Saccharomyces cerevisiae S288C: one gene and its partner. The gene in region 1 interacts genetically with each later gene. Each region holds a gene or a part of one and is shown in the gene's direction. Other genes may lie near its edges.

Evidence for each region. A genetic interaction does not mean that the proteins touch.
Region 2: of ECM9 (region 1) and YNL320W, a mutation in one rescues a mutant of the other (synthetic rescue), as found in Saccharomyces cerevisiae (one study listed by BioGRID).

Annotation. Positions count from the first base shown.
Region 1 is NC_001143.9:446,299-451,034, reverse strand, and holds ECM9 (Ecm9p), read left to right. Parts: upstream 1-2,998; coding exon 2,999-3,224; intron 3,225-3,328; coding exon 3,329-4,236; downstream 4,237-4,736. Other genes in the region: mitochondrial 54S ribosomal protein mL50 MRPL13, read left to right, coding at 1-612; YKR005C (uncharacterized protein), read left to right, coding at 868-1,014, 1,084-2,514; oxysterol-binding protein OSH6, read right to left, coding at 4,308-4,736. UniProt on the Saccharomyces cerevisiae protein: May be involved in cell wall organization and biogenesis.
Region 2 is NC_001146.8:33,347-42,190, forward strand, and holds YNL320W (uncharacterized protein), read left to right. Parts: upstream 1-4,353; coding exon 4,354-5,208; downstream 5,209-8,844. Other genes in the region: KRE1 (Kre1p), read right to left, coding at 1-889; VNX1 (calcium/hydrogen antiporter), read left to right, coding at 1,350-4,076; HXT14 (Hxt14p), read right to left, coding at 5,361-6,983; cleavage polyadenylation factor subunit PFS2, read left to right, coding at 7,273-8,670; prephenate dehydratase PHA2, read right to left, coding at 8,725-8,844.

The DNA of each region.
Region 1 (4,736 bases):
ATAAAGGATATTGAAGAAGGCACTAACGAGGCTTCCTCTCAATCCTCTTCCAATAACAAAAACAGATTGGAGCTAATACCAGAAAATTTTATTGGCGAAGGGTCTAGACGGTGTAAGAGACAGAAGGAGTTGAAGCTTGCGGTCTCCTCTGCGCCATTCAATCAGTGGTTATCCAGGGATAAGATTACGTCTGATAATCAGTTAGATGATATGATATTGCAGGCAACGGAAAAAACATTGGGCAAAGTAGACCAGGACGTCCAATTCTCTGATTTGGTAGCTAAATTTCAGTTCACCAAATTTTTGCAATCTAAATCTGGCTATCTAATTCCTGATTATGAACTGACCACTTTAAGCACACCCTTGCAGTTTAAAAGGTATATTAAGGAAAAAATTTTGCCATCTGCCAACGATCCTAAACTCGCTTATAAAGAAGCTGAGCCAAATGCTATCCACCCATTTTCTGATAATTACGCGTCACCAAACATATATGTTGTTAACGATGTTACTTCTAAAGAGCAAAAAAGTAAATATGATACTATTATGAAAGAAATTCAAAAGTTAGAGGATGATGCAACAAGAAAAGCTTTGGAAACAGCAAGATCCGCTTAGCTTATGTTAATACTATTATTACTACTATCATTACATTTTAATATCCTGTACATATATATACTCTTTGAAGAAGTTTGGATTTTTCTTTCCCATTATAGATCACTTTTTTTTTTTACCTTATCTTTTCTGTAAGTTCTTTTTGTGGCTATATTTCCTCTTTGGCGGCTAACTCAAGAAGCAGTAAGGGAATAATTCGTTACACATTACAGCTAGCTAAAATCATCAAGAGGCAGGAACACACGAGATATACTGATAATGTTGGAATGTCTAAGCGCTCTGCTGGTTCTCTTTGCCGGTGGTGGTGGGAGCGTTCTCGCAGCGGTTCAAAGCAAAACTGTGGCAGATCCTAACTTATGTCCAGGTTACAATTCACAACTGATTTCCCCCTTCCTCTCCAGTTGCGTATGTACAACAAATTTACCGAGGTACTAATATTCTCTAGATTTTATTACTGACAAGATCCATGTGAAGAAACGAAATTTAAGTGAATGCGTGTCCCGTTATTTTGATGAACAATATGCATTTTGTCGGTCATGCGTTACTGTGAATAATGAAACAATGGAGGACTTGGATAACTGCAAATGTTTACAGTGTGCCTTGAGTTCCCTTAATAATAGCTGCTTTCACGATTACTGTACCTCCAAAGATGAGTATGACAAGTTGCAGATCGTTGTTGAACAATTTCAATTGACAAATGGAGTTTTAGATGACGGAGAGATTTTGAAACCTAGAGGCAACAAATTTTCTAGTAGAAAATTGTCTTATTTCGTTGGTCAAAACAATACTCTTTTTAGGAACCCTTTGCAGTTCGAAAAAAACCAATTAATTTCTGCACTATTAACCTCTTTAACCAATAATCAAAAGACTATATCATCAGTTGACATGTTCGAAGTGGTTGACGCTAATAATGAAGTTCAATATTTGCGCGAAAGAACGATAAGTGGTAAAACTCTGTCTCCAGCTACTGGTTATGAAGAAGAAAACGACGGTGACTGTAGTGTGAAAGATAAGAAGTGGGAAGGTAAAATCGAATACCATGAGAACAAGAAAGTTAGTTCTGAAAACTGTAGTAAGGATACCGATGATAAAAGTGGCAGTAAAAAAGAACGAAATACGAAGGCCCCATTATTTCACACTGCCACCGAAATTCATATGACAAGGTGGAGTTCTTGGAGGCCAAAGAAAATTTTTACTCGTTACTTAGTGAATGAATACCAAAGTCCTAAAATAATAACCACAGTGAACAGGTTTTACAGGACCAAGACTGATACTGAAACAGGGACGACTTTAATCACGTCGACAAAAGCCAAAAGAAGATGGTTTCCAAGAACTAAAATCGTAACAAGTACCGCAACTTCGACGTTTTTGAGTATCACGACTACTACGACAACAAATGCTATCGCAACGAAGTCGTTAGTAGCAGTACTTAATCCGGATGGATTGAATAAAAAAGCGGGAATAAATTTTGGTCTCTTTAGCGCTAATGGTGAGCTCGCTTCACCAGATGAAGGAGGTACACCAACAGTAGTAAGAAGAGATAAGATTTCTGATCCAGGCGCTGCTAATGAGCAGGCCACACTGTTCTCTACAACCTTTTCGCAAGTGCCGCACTTACCAGAACTAGATTCTGGTGAATTCATATCGGCGGCATCTCAATTAGACAAAAGGATTTTCATATTCACTGCCATCACAGTATCAATTACTACATTGATGATGTTGGGGTTTTCTTACCGGTCGCGGGTATCTTTTAGAGATCATAGTATCGATGACTCAGATGATGATAACGATTGGTCAGATGACGAAGTTGAATTTGACGAAGAGTATTTCTATTCTCTTCCTGTAAGCATACCAGAAAAGGGGATCAGCTTAGATAAAATGGCGCAACAACTTGGTGTAGAATAGTCATGAAACCATTGCGCTCTTTTTTCTTTACCGATATTATTTATGCACGTTGCTCATTTAATTCCTTTCAATCACTGATTCGTTTCACGATGTTAGATGATGCTATTGACTGTCCTCCAATTATTTGTTTCACAAGGATAATAGTACAAACTTACATAGCGTTGATAGTAAATAGGCTTCGTCTTTATAAGATATATACAGCTATTAATACACATTCGTTCTCCTGATCACGGTCTCAGTAAAGAAAATATTTTTTATAGGCTTCCGGCAGTTTTATAACTTCACATTATTTGACTAAGCAATTGTTCCATTTTCTCCTTTCCTTTTTATGTTTTGTTCTTGATTTTAATACTACATTTAGTTCAGCTCTTTTTCACTTATTTTTGCACATGGAAGATCAAATACATGAAAAGTACACAAAAGAACAAACAAAAGCCAAACAAAAAAATGCTAAAAGGAAACGCTCAAAACAATTGTTGAAGTTATGCAATCTTCTCTTCCCCTTTGCAGAGAATTTTTTGAAAAAATAACTGCATATTTAGATTATCATGATTTCAGGTTAACCATTACTGCCAATCAGCCTTCAATTACTCTCCCTTACTACGTAGACGAAAAAGCCCATTCCATAGAACTAATTATCTTCAAAACAACATTTTTATCTCTTTTCCAAGAAGCACATACATATTTTAACAAAACTTTCTCTGATCAAAGTATGTCTCAACGGTAAAATACAAAAAACTATTGCTATTTTACAATACGCATTTTGGATTCATTGTTACGGCTACTAACAATTCTACATATTGATGTAAATTAGGCGGCATTTCTAATGAGAATATTTATTACATGACTGTTGGATTTCTACTTACAACACCTGAAAACAAAACGGTATATAATGTACACGAAGATTTACTCAAGAGATACTTCCAGGACAACAGTGTTTTAGTAATACCGGATTTATTGGTCAAAGAAGTAAGACTGATTCAACGGCTTCTTTGTTCATCAAACAATCGTATCAACAAGTCGTCATCTCTTTGGATATTATACCGAAAACTATTCGTTTTATCTCTTGATGCTAATACACTGGTTCTTCCAGATATTTTATTTGTATTTCATTCTTCTGGATCCCAACATTTCTCTAATTACTACTGTTGGAATACTGCTAGGTGGTTCTACGATAATTTACCTTACAATAAAAGAATTGAGCTCTTCAATTTGACTAAGAGATTTTGCTTTCAAAATGTTAAGGATTGTTCCTCATGGAGCGCATTAGCATATATGGTATGCCAGCAGGAGGAAAAAAAAACCGATAATATACGTGATTTTCAAAGACTAACAAGCTCTTTTAATGTTCCGTTCAAGATAAATAAAGTGGATTTGAATTTTCAAGTACAGCCTGCGGATGCATTTACTCAGGAATTAGTAAAATGGATTGATCGAACGTATGCTGCAGATTGGCCTCCATATCTGTGTCTTCTGCAAATTACGAAATTTAATATCACCCTTAGAATTGAAATGGACTCTGTCTTATTGACTTGGAGAAATGAAATTCTGAATTTTGAAGAGAACAGTGGTCATATCAAAATGATAAATAATACTCCAATAGTACCTGAGAAATTTTCAAACGATCTTCTAACTTCTGTGAATTTTGCACATTTTGGCTATAAAAAGCTTTTCTTAAATAAGTTTTTGGATAAAAATAAGAAAGAACAATCAGATAGTTAGAACAAAAAAAAGAAAAACATATAAAAAAACTAATCTATAATTTACAACAAATATCATATCCAACATATACACTATTGTTTTGCTGGGTTCTGCTTTTCGTTTTCAATCATCTTCTTTTGTGATTTTATTTTCTCAAATGCGGGGATGAAAAATTTGTCGGTAAATTGTTGACCAGGTAAAATAGGTGCTATTTGCAATATGCTTCGTATTTGCTTCTCAGGGTCCTCGTCGACAGGGATATTTTTATAAATACAATAGTCAAGATCTTCGCCAGGCTTTGATCTTCTAAACAACTTTGGATGAAATTCTACGCCATCTTCAATGCGTTTTTTGGCTAACTGTCTTTGGTGATCTTCAATCTGAAATTTTTCTTCTGTCGCAACAGGATGATTGCGAACGGCCAACGCATCTGTAACCTTTTTCCACAGTTTTCTGGATTCATATTCACCTTGCTCGCTCAATGGCCGAACTTTTGGTCTCAATGGTGACTCTTTATGAGT
Region 2 (8,844 bases), on another chromosome or scaffold:
AACTCATACCTAGATGCTGGGCCTCATTATGCGAAACTGTTTTCTTTATTGCAGATTTAATAACGCCTACAGTACCGGTTAAAGTACCCATCCCAATAGACCCCACGGAGGGAGAAGCGACTGTTACGTACTGGGAGGAGAAACGCTGGACAAAAGTAGTTTGCACAGTGATAGTGTTGCCCTGTCTAACAACAGTGACCCACATGGACGTTGGCGCACGTGTGGTTGTGTAAGTGGAGGTTGTACCTTCAGTGATGGTAATGTATGAGTCAATAGATAGACTAGTGACAGCAGACACAGGAGGTTCTGTGAAGTCTGTGGAGGGGTCTGGCCTGGTGCCTGTTTCAGCTACTGCGCTCCCTGTCGATGTGGTCGTCTTTACACTGGAGGATGAACCAGACGAAGATACAGACGAGGACACAGACGAGGAGGCGGATGAAGTAGCACTGGTGCTAGAATGTGTGAACGTTTGAGTCAATGTAACTGTGGTACCCAAATCGTTTGTCGTGGTAACTGTAGATAAATACAGTCCCGAAGACAACGATGAAGTTGCGGTAGGAACAGTGGTGGTTGTCTTACCAGTAGATGAGGTAGAAGTCGTCGTGGTTGGTAGCATAGTGGCTCTGTTGACTGTCTGAGTAAGAGTGACGGTGGTTCCGACATCGTTAGTGGTAGTGAATACCGTAGTGAAGAAACCTGTTTGAGCGGTAGTTGTAGCAGCAGCAGCAGCGGTGGCAGGGTCCCATATTGTGGTCTCCGTAACCAGGGCCCCTGCGACATTTGTTACCACTGTAACCTGAGTTGTCACAGCTGCCATGACCGCAGCTGACCACAACGACAAAGAAAGTAGCAGCGTAGCGAATGAATGTAATAGCGTGCGACGCATCATTTTTTTTTTGATTGTCTTGCAGAAGTTGAAGAGGTCTTTACTGTAGCATATACAAGTGCTTAATTCTTGATTTTTATTTTCTTTTTTTCATAATACACGTTATAGAAAAAGCCCCATTCTCAGTTTATGAAAAAACGCGATATCACCATACACGCTGAGGTAGGGGGATACAAGGTGAAGAATGTACGCAATAAGGCGAAGTATATGGCACAATTGAGCAGTAAAAGTGTTAAAATATAGTGATATATATATATAAAATACGAGAGTACCAACTATTATGATCTTTTAATGCCCTCTTTCCGTTGAGATATTCATAATAGTAACCGTCACGGAACTGTCGCTTTATACGGTGAGGGGATTATTTAGTTCCTAATTTATATTAGATAAAGAAGATAATAAACATGAGGGATGCTGTAAATGAAAGTGAAATAACTGCTAGCTAGAAGAGCGGTAAGCAGCAATGGCCAAAAATAACCACATTTCTGCCAGTGGTAACAGTACCTCTGGAGACCATCGTCTTAAAGAGGAGGTTCTGACCCCAACTACATCTGCCTCGACTCCTCATAGAATATTTAGCGTGGACGATGATCCAAAGGAGATCCAAAACGATATCAGGTATCTTGAGGGTCTGCATGAAGGGTTGAAGTTCGCCCTGCATGCCAATAAATCCAAGCGATCTGTAAGCTCGCAATCACCAATCGTACATAGCAGCAACAACACGCTGCACCACCACGAGCACCAACAACACTTGCCGCCCACACTAGAGTCGCTATCCTCCAAGTCGCACTCTGTGCCAGACTTAAATACAGCTACTCCCAGCTCTCCGAAACGAATGCATTCATCTATCCGGGAATTACCTCATGATGACAATGATGACGAGGACGCCAATGATGACAGTCGGTTCATTATACACGACTCGCACGGCCATGATTTACTTATAGACGAGATCAATTGCCAGTCGCCTTCACACTTGGAAAACAATGACCAGGCGTCTAATGCTTCGTCCACAGAGTCATTCACTTTACGAGAAAGACAGGACGCCATCAACGAGACCCACCCCTTCGGTATCAGGATATGGAAGCCTGCTTTATATAAGAAACACCGTTCAGTTCAAAGAACCGCGGCGCAAGACATTCACGAGACTCAGTTGAAGACTATTACCTGGGAGGTGACTTGTTCCAATGTGCTATGGTTTATTTTGTTCGGTTTCCCCATTGCGATACTCTTCTACTCGGCGGCTATTGTGGTATTTTTACTAGGCGGCGGAGGACTGGTAACGAACTCTGCGAAGGAGTACTCCAAGTGTCTGTATAAACTCGCCAATTATTTCCTTTGGCCTTTTGGCAAAATGGTATACTTGTTGCAGGACGAGCAATATTTACAAGAAGATAAGGATGAAGGTATTAGTATGCAGCAATTCTACAATTGGGTGACTTCATACTCCAACAGGCTGGTCTTCCACCAGTCTCAGGCCAAGTTTCAGCAAAGAGAGGACCATCCGGCCCCTGCAACGGAATCTTCGTCTTTGATGCCGCCCGCTAACACAACAGCAACACCGCTTAACTCGAACCATCCATCATATAATTCTATTAGACACGAAATTCCGCACGCAGCGGCTCAAAGACGGTACTTTGGGAGAGGAAAATGGAGCTGGGGTCGTGTTCTTTTCTATACAATCTTCCATCTCGTCTTGCAACCCATCCTTGCCGTCTTATCTCTTTGCCTCTGGCTCCTGGTGTTTACCATTCCCATGAGTAATGTTCTTTGGCAAATTATGTATCATTGCAGAAGACATCCGCTTGCATTAGGCTTCAAATATGTCGAGAACTCCTCCCAATCGCACGAAAATGAAATAACCCAGCAGCAATTGAACAAAAATATCCTCTTATGTACGTTCCGTGCCGCTGGCTGGCATTACTACAAGTACACAGTTGATGGTACAAATGTTATTGTTGTGAATTTAATATCCATCGTTTTCTTTACAATTTTTGACTTTTATGTTTTGAAAAATTTCCTGCATTGGAAAACGTGGTTCACATACGAATCCTCAATATTCATTCTTTGTTTGACATCCACCATCCCACTAGCATTTTACATTGGACAAGCAGTCGCATCGATCTCTGCTCAAACTTCCATGGGTGTCGGTGCTGTCATTAATGCATTTTTCTCGACCATTGTGGAAATTTTCTTGTACTGCGTTGCATTGCAACAAAAAAAGGGTCTTCTAGTGGAAGGATCCATGATTGGTTCCATTCTAGGTGCCGTTCTATTATTACCAGGTCTGTCCATGTGCGGTGGTGCTCTAAATAGGAAAACACAAAGATACAACCCTGCTAGCGCTGGTGTCTCTTCCGCATTGTTAATATTTTCCATGATTGTAATGTTTGTCCCCACCGTTTTATACGAGATATATGGCGGCTACTCGGTAAACTGTGCAGACGGTGCTAACGACCGTGACTGTACTTTCTCGCATCCTCCCCTGAAGTTCAACCGTTTATTCACTCATGTTATTCAACCTATGTCCATATCTTGTGCCATTGTTCTCTTCTGTGCTTATATCATTGGCTTGTGGTTCACCCTTAGAACACATGCAAAGATGATTTGGCAATTGCCTATTGCGGACCCAACCTCGACCGCACCAGAACAACAGGAACAAAATTCTCACGATGCACCCAATTGGTCAAGAAGCAAGTCTACTTGTATTTTACTTATGTCTACGCTCCTGTACGCAATAATTGCAGAAATCCTTGTTTCCTGTGTTGATGCTGTCCTAGAAGATATTCCCTCCTTGAATCCAAAGTTTCTAGGTCTCACCATTTTTGCTCTGATCCCCAATACGACAGAGTTTTTGAATGCCATTTCATTTGCCATCCATGGTAATGTAGCGTTATCAATGGAAATCGGTAGTGCTTATGCTTTACAGGTTTGTCTTTTACAAATCCCATCCTTAGTCATTTATTCCATTTTCTATACGTGGAATGTTAAAAAGTCGATGATTAATATCAGAACACAGATGTTCCCATTAGTCTTTCCCCGTTGGGACATATTTGGTGCTATGACGAGTGTTTTCATGTTCACCTATTTGTATGCTGAGGGTAAAAGTAACTATTTCAAGGGTTCCATGTTGATATTACTATATATCATTATTGTTGTAGGATTCTACTTCCAGGGAGCTCTTTCGGAGTAGAAAGCAACTGTCCCCGCTTTTCACCTGGATACCTACCAATTTTTCTTTTTCTTATATCTTTGTATTGTTTGTCTTTCTTATTACTTTTTATTCTATATAGTCTTTAGTTAATTAATTACCCGCAACGATCATTAACACCTCTTAAATTGATCTACTCACAATTGGGTTGTTCTTATACTTAGAGAGGTGCGTTCCTCGAAATAACTCGAATCAAGCCCACACCTGCTCCCTTTTTTATTTCTCCGTCAATTGCACTGTAGAATCCTTTTCTGGTCTCATGTTGTGGAAAGTTTCTAAGATGTTCTTGGGTGGCTTGGTAGCGCTAACAACAATATCGGTTGCGACCCTTTATCACTACCAAAATCGCCTAGTCTACCCATCATGGGCTCAAGGCGCCAGGAATCATGTTGACACTCCTGATTCCCGTGGAATCCCTTATGAAAAGCTAACCCTAATTACACAAGACCACATTAAACTCGAGGCATGGGATATCAAGAATGAAAACTCAACAAGTACTGTGTTGATCTTATGTCCCAATGCCGGTAATATTGGATACTTTATACTAATAATTGACATTTTCTATCGTCAGTTTGGAATGAGTGTATTTATTTATTCGTATCGTGGTTATGGTAACTCAGAAGGTTCACCCAGCGAAAAGGGTTTGAAATTGGACGCTGATTGTGTCATATCGCATTTGTCAACGGATTCTTTCCATTCAAAGAGAAAACTAGTATTGTATGGTAGATCTCTAGGTGGTGCTAATGCTCTTTACATTGCTTCAAAATTTCGGGATCTATGCGATGGCGTTATACTGGAGAATACATTTTTGAGTATTCGAAAAGTTATCCCATATATTTTCCCCCTTTTGAAACGCTTTACGCTTTTATGTCACGAAATCTGGAATTCAGAAGGCCTTATGGGAAGCTGTAGTTCAGAGACGCCATTCTTGTTTTTAAGTGGATTAAAAGATGAAATCGTTCCACCCTTCCACATGAGGAAACTGTACGAAACATGTCCTAGTTCGAACAAAAAGATTTTCGAATTTCCACTTGGTTCACACAATGATACTATTATTCAAGATGGGTACTGGGATATAATAAGAGATTTTCTAATAGAGAAGGGTTTTATCTAAAAGTAATAATCAAAATATTTGATAGATTTATTTACTTTACTGTATGTAAAGAAAATGTGGTCAGTCCTCACGGCCACTTAGTTACTGATGGTTATTTATTATGGAAAAAAAAACTGCACTTTGCTACTTCTTCTATTTATATTATGTAATATCTACTCCGGTTCAAATATTTTATTGATCTCTTGCTCATTCTTTTTCCTCGTTTCAGGAACTAGTATCCAACTGAATATTATCAACGCTAATAGGCAAGCAGCAAATATGTATCCTAGTTTGAAATCAATTTTGGATACAATCATTGGTGTTAAAAGTGATATTAAGAAATTGAACATCCAATTGATAAATGTGCAAATAGCCATTGATATGGCCCTCGTTCTTAGAGGGAACAATTCGGACACTAGTACAAATGTAACTGGGCCCAATGTTATTGCAAACCAAAAAATAAAACAACAAGTCACGATAATTAAAACAATATTTGAGAAGTCCGTTTCTCTTCCAAATGTCCCCACAGTAGCATATGTCATCATATAAAATAATAAATTTGTTGAACCATATAATAAACATGTCTTGTGGCCCCATTTCTCCACGTAATATATGCCTAATATCGTAGAAAGGAAGTTAACACTTGACAGTATGATTGAAGTAATATAAGGATCCTTAATCCCGACACCTTTGAAAACAGACGTTCCGTAATAAAAGAAATAATTTATTCCGGACAGCTGTTGAAATGCCATTATCATCATACCAATAATCAGTCTCAACCATAACTTTGGCTTTCCCATAATAAATTCAAATGTGTTTCTTTTAACTAAGCTTTGCTTTTTTGATTCGTTGTTAGTTTCCTCATTATTATAGTTATTTTCCAGCAAATCATCGATGAATTCAATTACCATGCTATCCGTCGCAGGGATGCCATTCATCCTCGCAAAAGAGTATTTAGCAGAGGGCACATCATTTTTGATTTTTGCCAAGTACTGTGGAGATTCAGGAACGTAAACAAGTGACATTCCAATTATAATTGCCCAAATGTATCCCAAGAACAATGGCAATTGCCAGGCTATATTTTGTGTAGGATCTTTATAACATCTTTCGCATATGAAATTTAAAATGTTTCCCATTAGTATGCCAAATGTTACAATCAATTGATACGTAGATACCATGGAGCCTCTGATTTTTAGTGGAGAATTCTCGGAGAGAAACATTGGCACCAAGACAGTGGTTACTCCCACACCGATTCCCGTTACGGCTCTTCCCAATGTCAAAAAATACCACCTTCCATAGGAGAGAATTTGAATGGTTATACCGATGCAGTACACTACTAAGGCAAACCATATACCACCTTTCCTACCAATCCAATCACCGATTTTTGACAGAGTTAAAGCCCCTACGCCACAACTGATGTTAAAAATACTGATAATTAGGCCTATTTGCAGATCAGTAAGTTTCTTAGTAGATACAAAAATTGTTTCATCGTCATGGATAATATTAGTTGTGCCAAATTTTTCTTGAAAGCTAACCATATTTGTCATTCCACCGATGGTTCCAATGTCCCATCCAAAAATAAAGCCACCAAGCGAGATTACCAAGCACAATAAAACGGGAATATGCAGACTCGCATTGTGACTAATCTTTGCTGCTTGGCCTTCTATATTTTCTTCTTTATCATCTAGATACTTAATGGTTACATTATAATCCCTTCCCCTGCCTGCATCAAGCTCATTATTGTGAAAATGAGAGATGTATCCCGAGCTATGTTGATACGGAATCTGAGCAGTCATTTCTAGCAATAATTGAAGTACTTTACTTCCTAAGAATACGTTAACAAATTCTTTGTTAGTATTTCTAATTAAAAGTGGTTAATTGTTCTGTTAAACAGTATTCAATGTTGCTATTTGAATTTGTGTCATCATTAGAATTACTGACATTTTTATTTTCTATTTTTTTTTCTATTTTTTTTCCTCTTCTTTTGAGGGCCGACGTATCGATTTGTCAAGGGAAGTATAATTAAAGAAAGCACTGATATACAGGTTGCTGGGTAGATATTAAGAAGCTCAACATAGACACGTTATGGACGGGCATAATCAGAACCAGTACCAGAATCAGAATCAAATTCAGCAGTCACAACAACCACCTCTGAAGAAATATGTGACACAGAGACGATCGGTAGACGTGAGTTCTCCGTATATTAACCTATATTACAACAGACGACATGGATTACCGAACCTAGTGGTAGAGCCAGAAACTTCATACACAATAGATATAATGCCGCCTAATGCCTACAGAGGTCGAGATCGAGTCATAAATTTGCCCAGCAAATTTACGCATTTAAGCTCGAATAAAGTGAAACATGTGATACCCGCCATCCAATGGACCCCAGAAGGCAGAAGACTTGTAGTAGCAACTTATAGCGGAGAATTTTCTCTATGGAACGCATCTTCGTTTACGTTTGAAACCCTCATGCAAGCACATGATTCGGCTGTGACTACAATGAAATATTCTCACGACAGTGATTGGATGATTAGTGGGGACGCAGATGGAATGATTAAGATATGGCAACCAAACTTTAGTATGGTTAAAGAAATTGATGCTGCACACACGGAAAGTATTAGGGATATGGCATTCAGTAGTAACGACTCGAAATTTGTTACCTGTTCAGATGATAATATCTTGAAGATTTGGAACTTCAGCAATGGCAAACAAGAAAGAGTATTATCGGGGCACCACTGGGACGTGAAAAGTTGTGATTGGCATCCCGAGATGGGGTTAATTGCCTCCGCATCTAAGGACAATTTAGTAAAACTGTGGGATCCGCGTTCCGGAAACTGCATATCATCAATTCTGAAGTTCAAACATACTGTCTTGAAGACGCGATTTCAACCCACCAAGGGAAATCTATTAATGGCGATTTCAAAAGATAAATCGTGTCGTGTGTTCGACATTAGATACAGTATGAAGGAACTAATGTGTGTAAGAGATGAAACGGATTATATGACACTAGAATGGCACCCAATAAATGAATCTATGTTCACTCTGGCGTGCTATGACGGCTCGCTAAAGCATTTTGATCTTTTACAAAATCTAAACGAACCTATTTTGACTATTCCATACGCCCATGATAAGTGTATCACCTCGTTATCATATAATCCAGTAGGACATATATTTGCCACAGCAGCTAAGGATAGAACCATAAGATTTTGGACTAGAGCGAGGCCAATTGATCCTAATGCATATGATGATCCAACTTATAACAATAAGAAGATAAATGGATGGTTTTTTGGCATCAATAACGACATCAATGCTGTGAGAGAGAAGAGTGAATTCGGTGCGGCCCCGCCACCACCAGCTACACTTGAACCACATGCGTTACCAAACATGAATGGATTCATCAACAAGAAACCGCGTCAAGAAATCCCAGGCATCGATTCAAACATCAAGAGTTCCACATTGCCAGGTTTAAGCATATAAAAGTGCGCTTTGACGAGATTTTAGGATACATAAATAAAAAGACTATATAACATATTATTTGTGATAATATCTCTCATTTCTGGGGAATGTACCCCACAGGCACCACTGTTTACTTTTGTCGCTGATATCTTCATAGAATTTTTCTTTATTCTTTGGGGTATTCTTCTCGGTGTA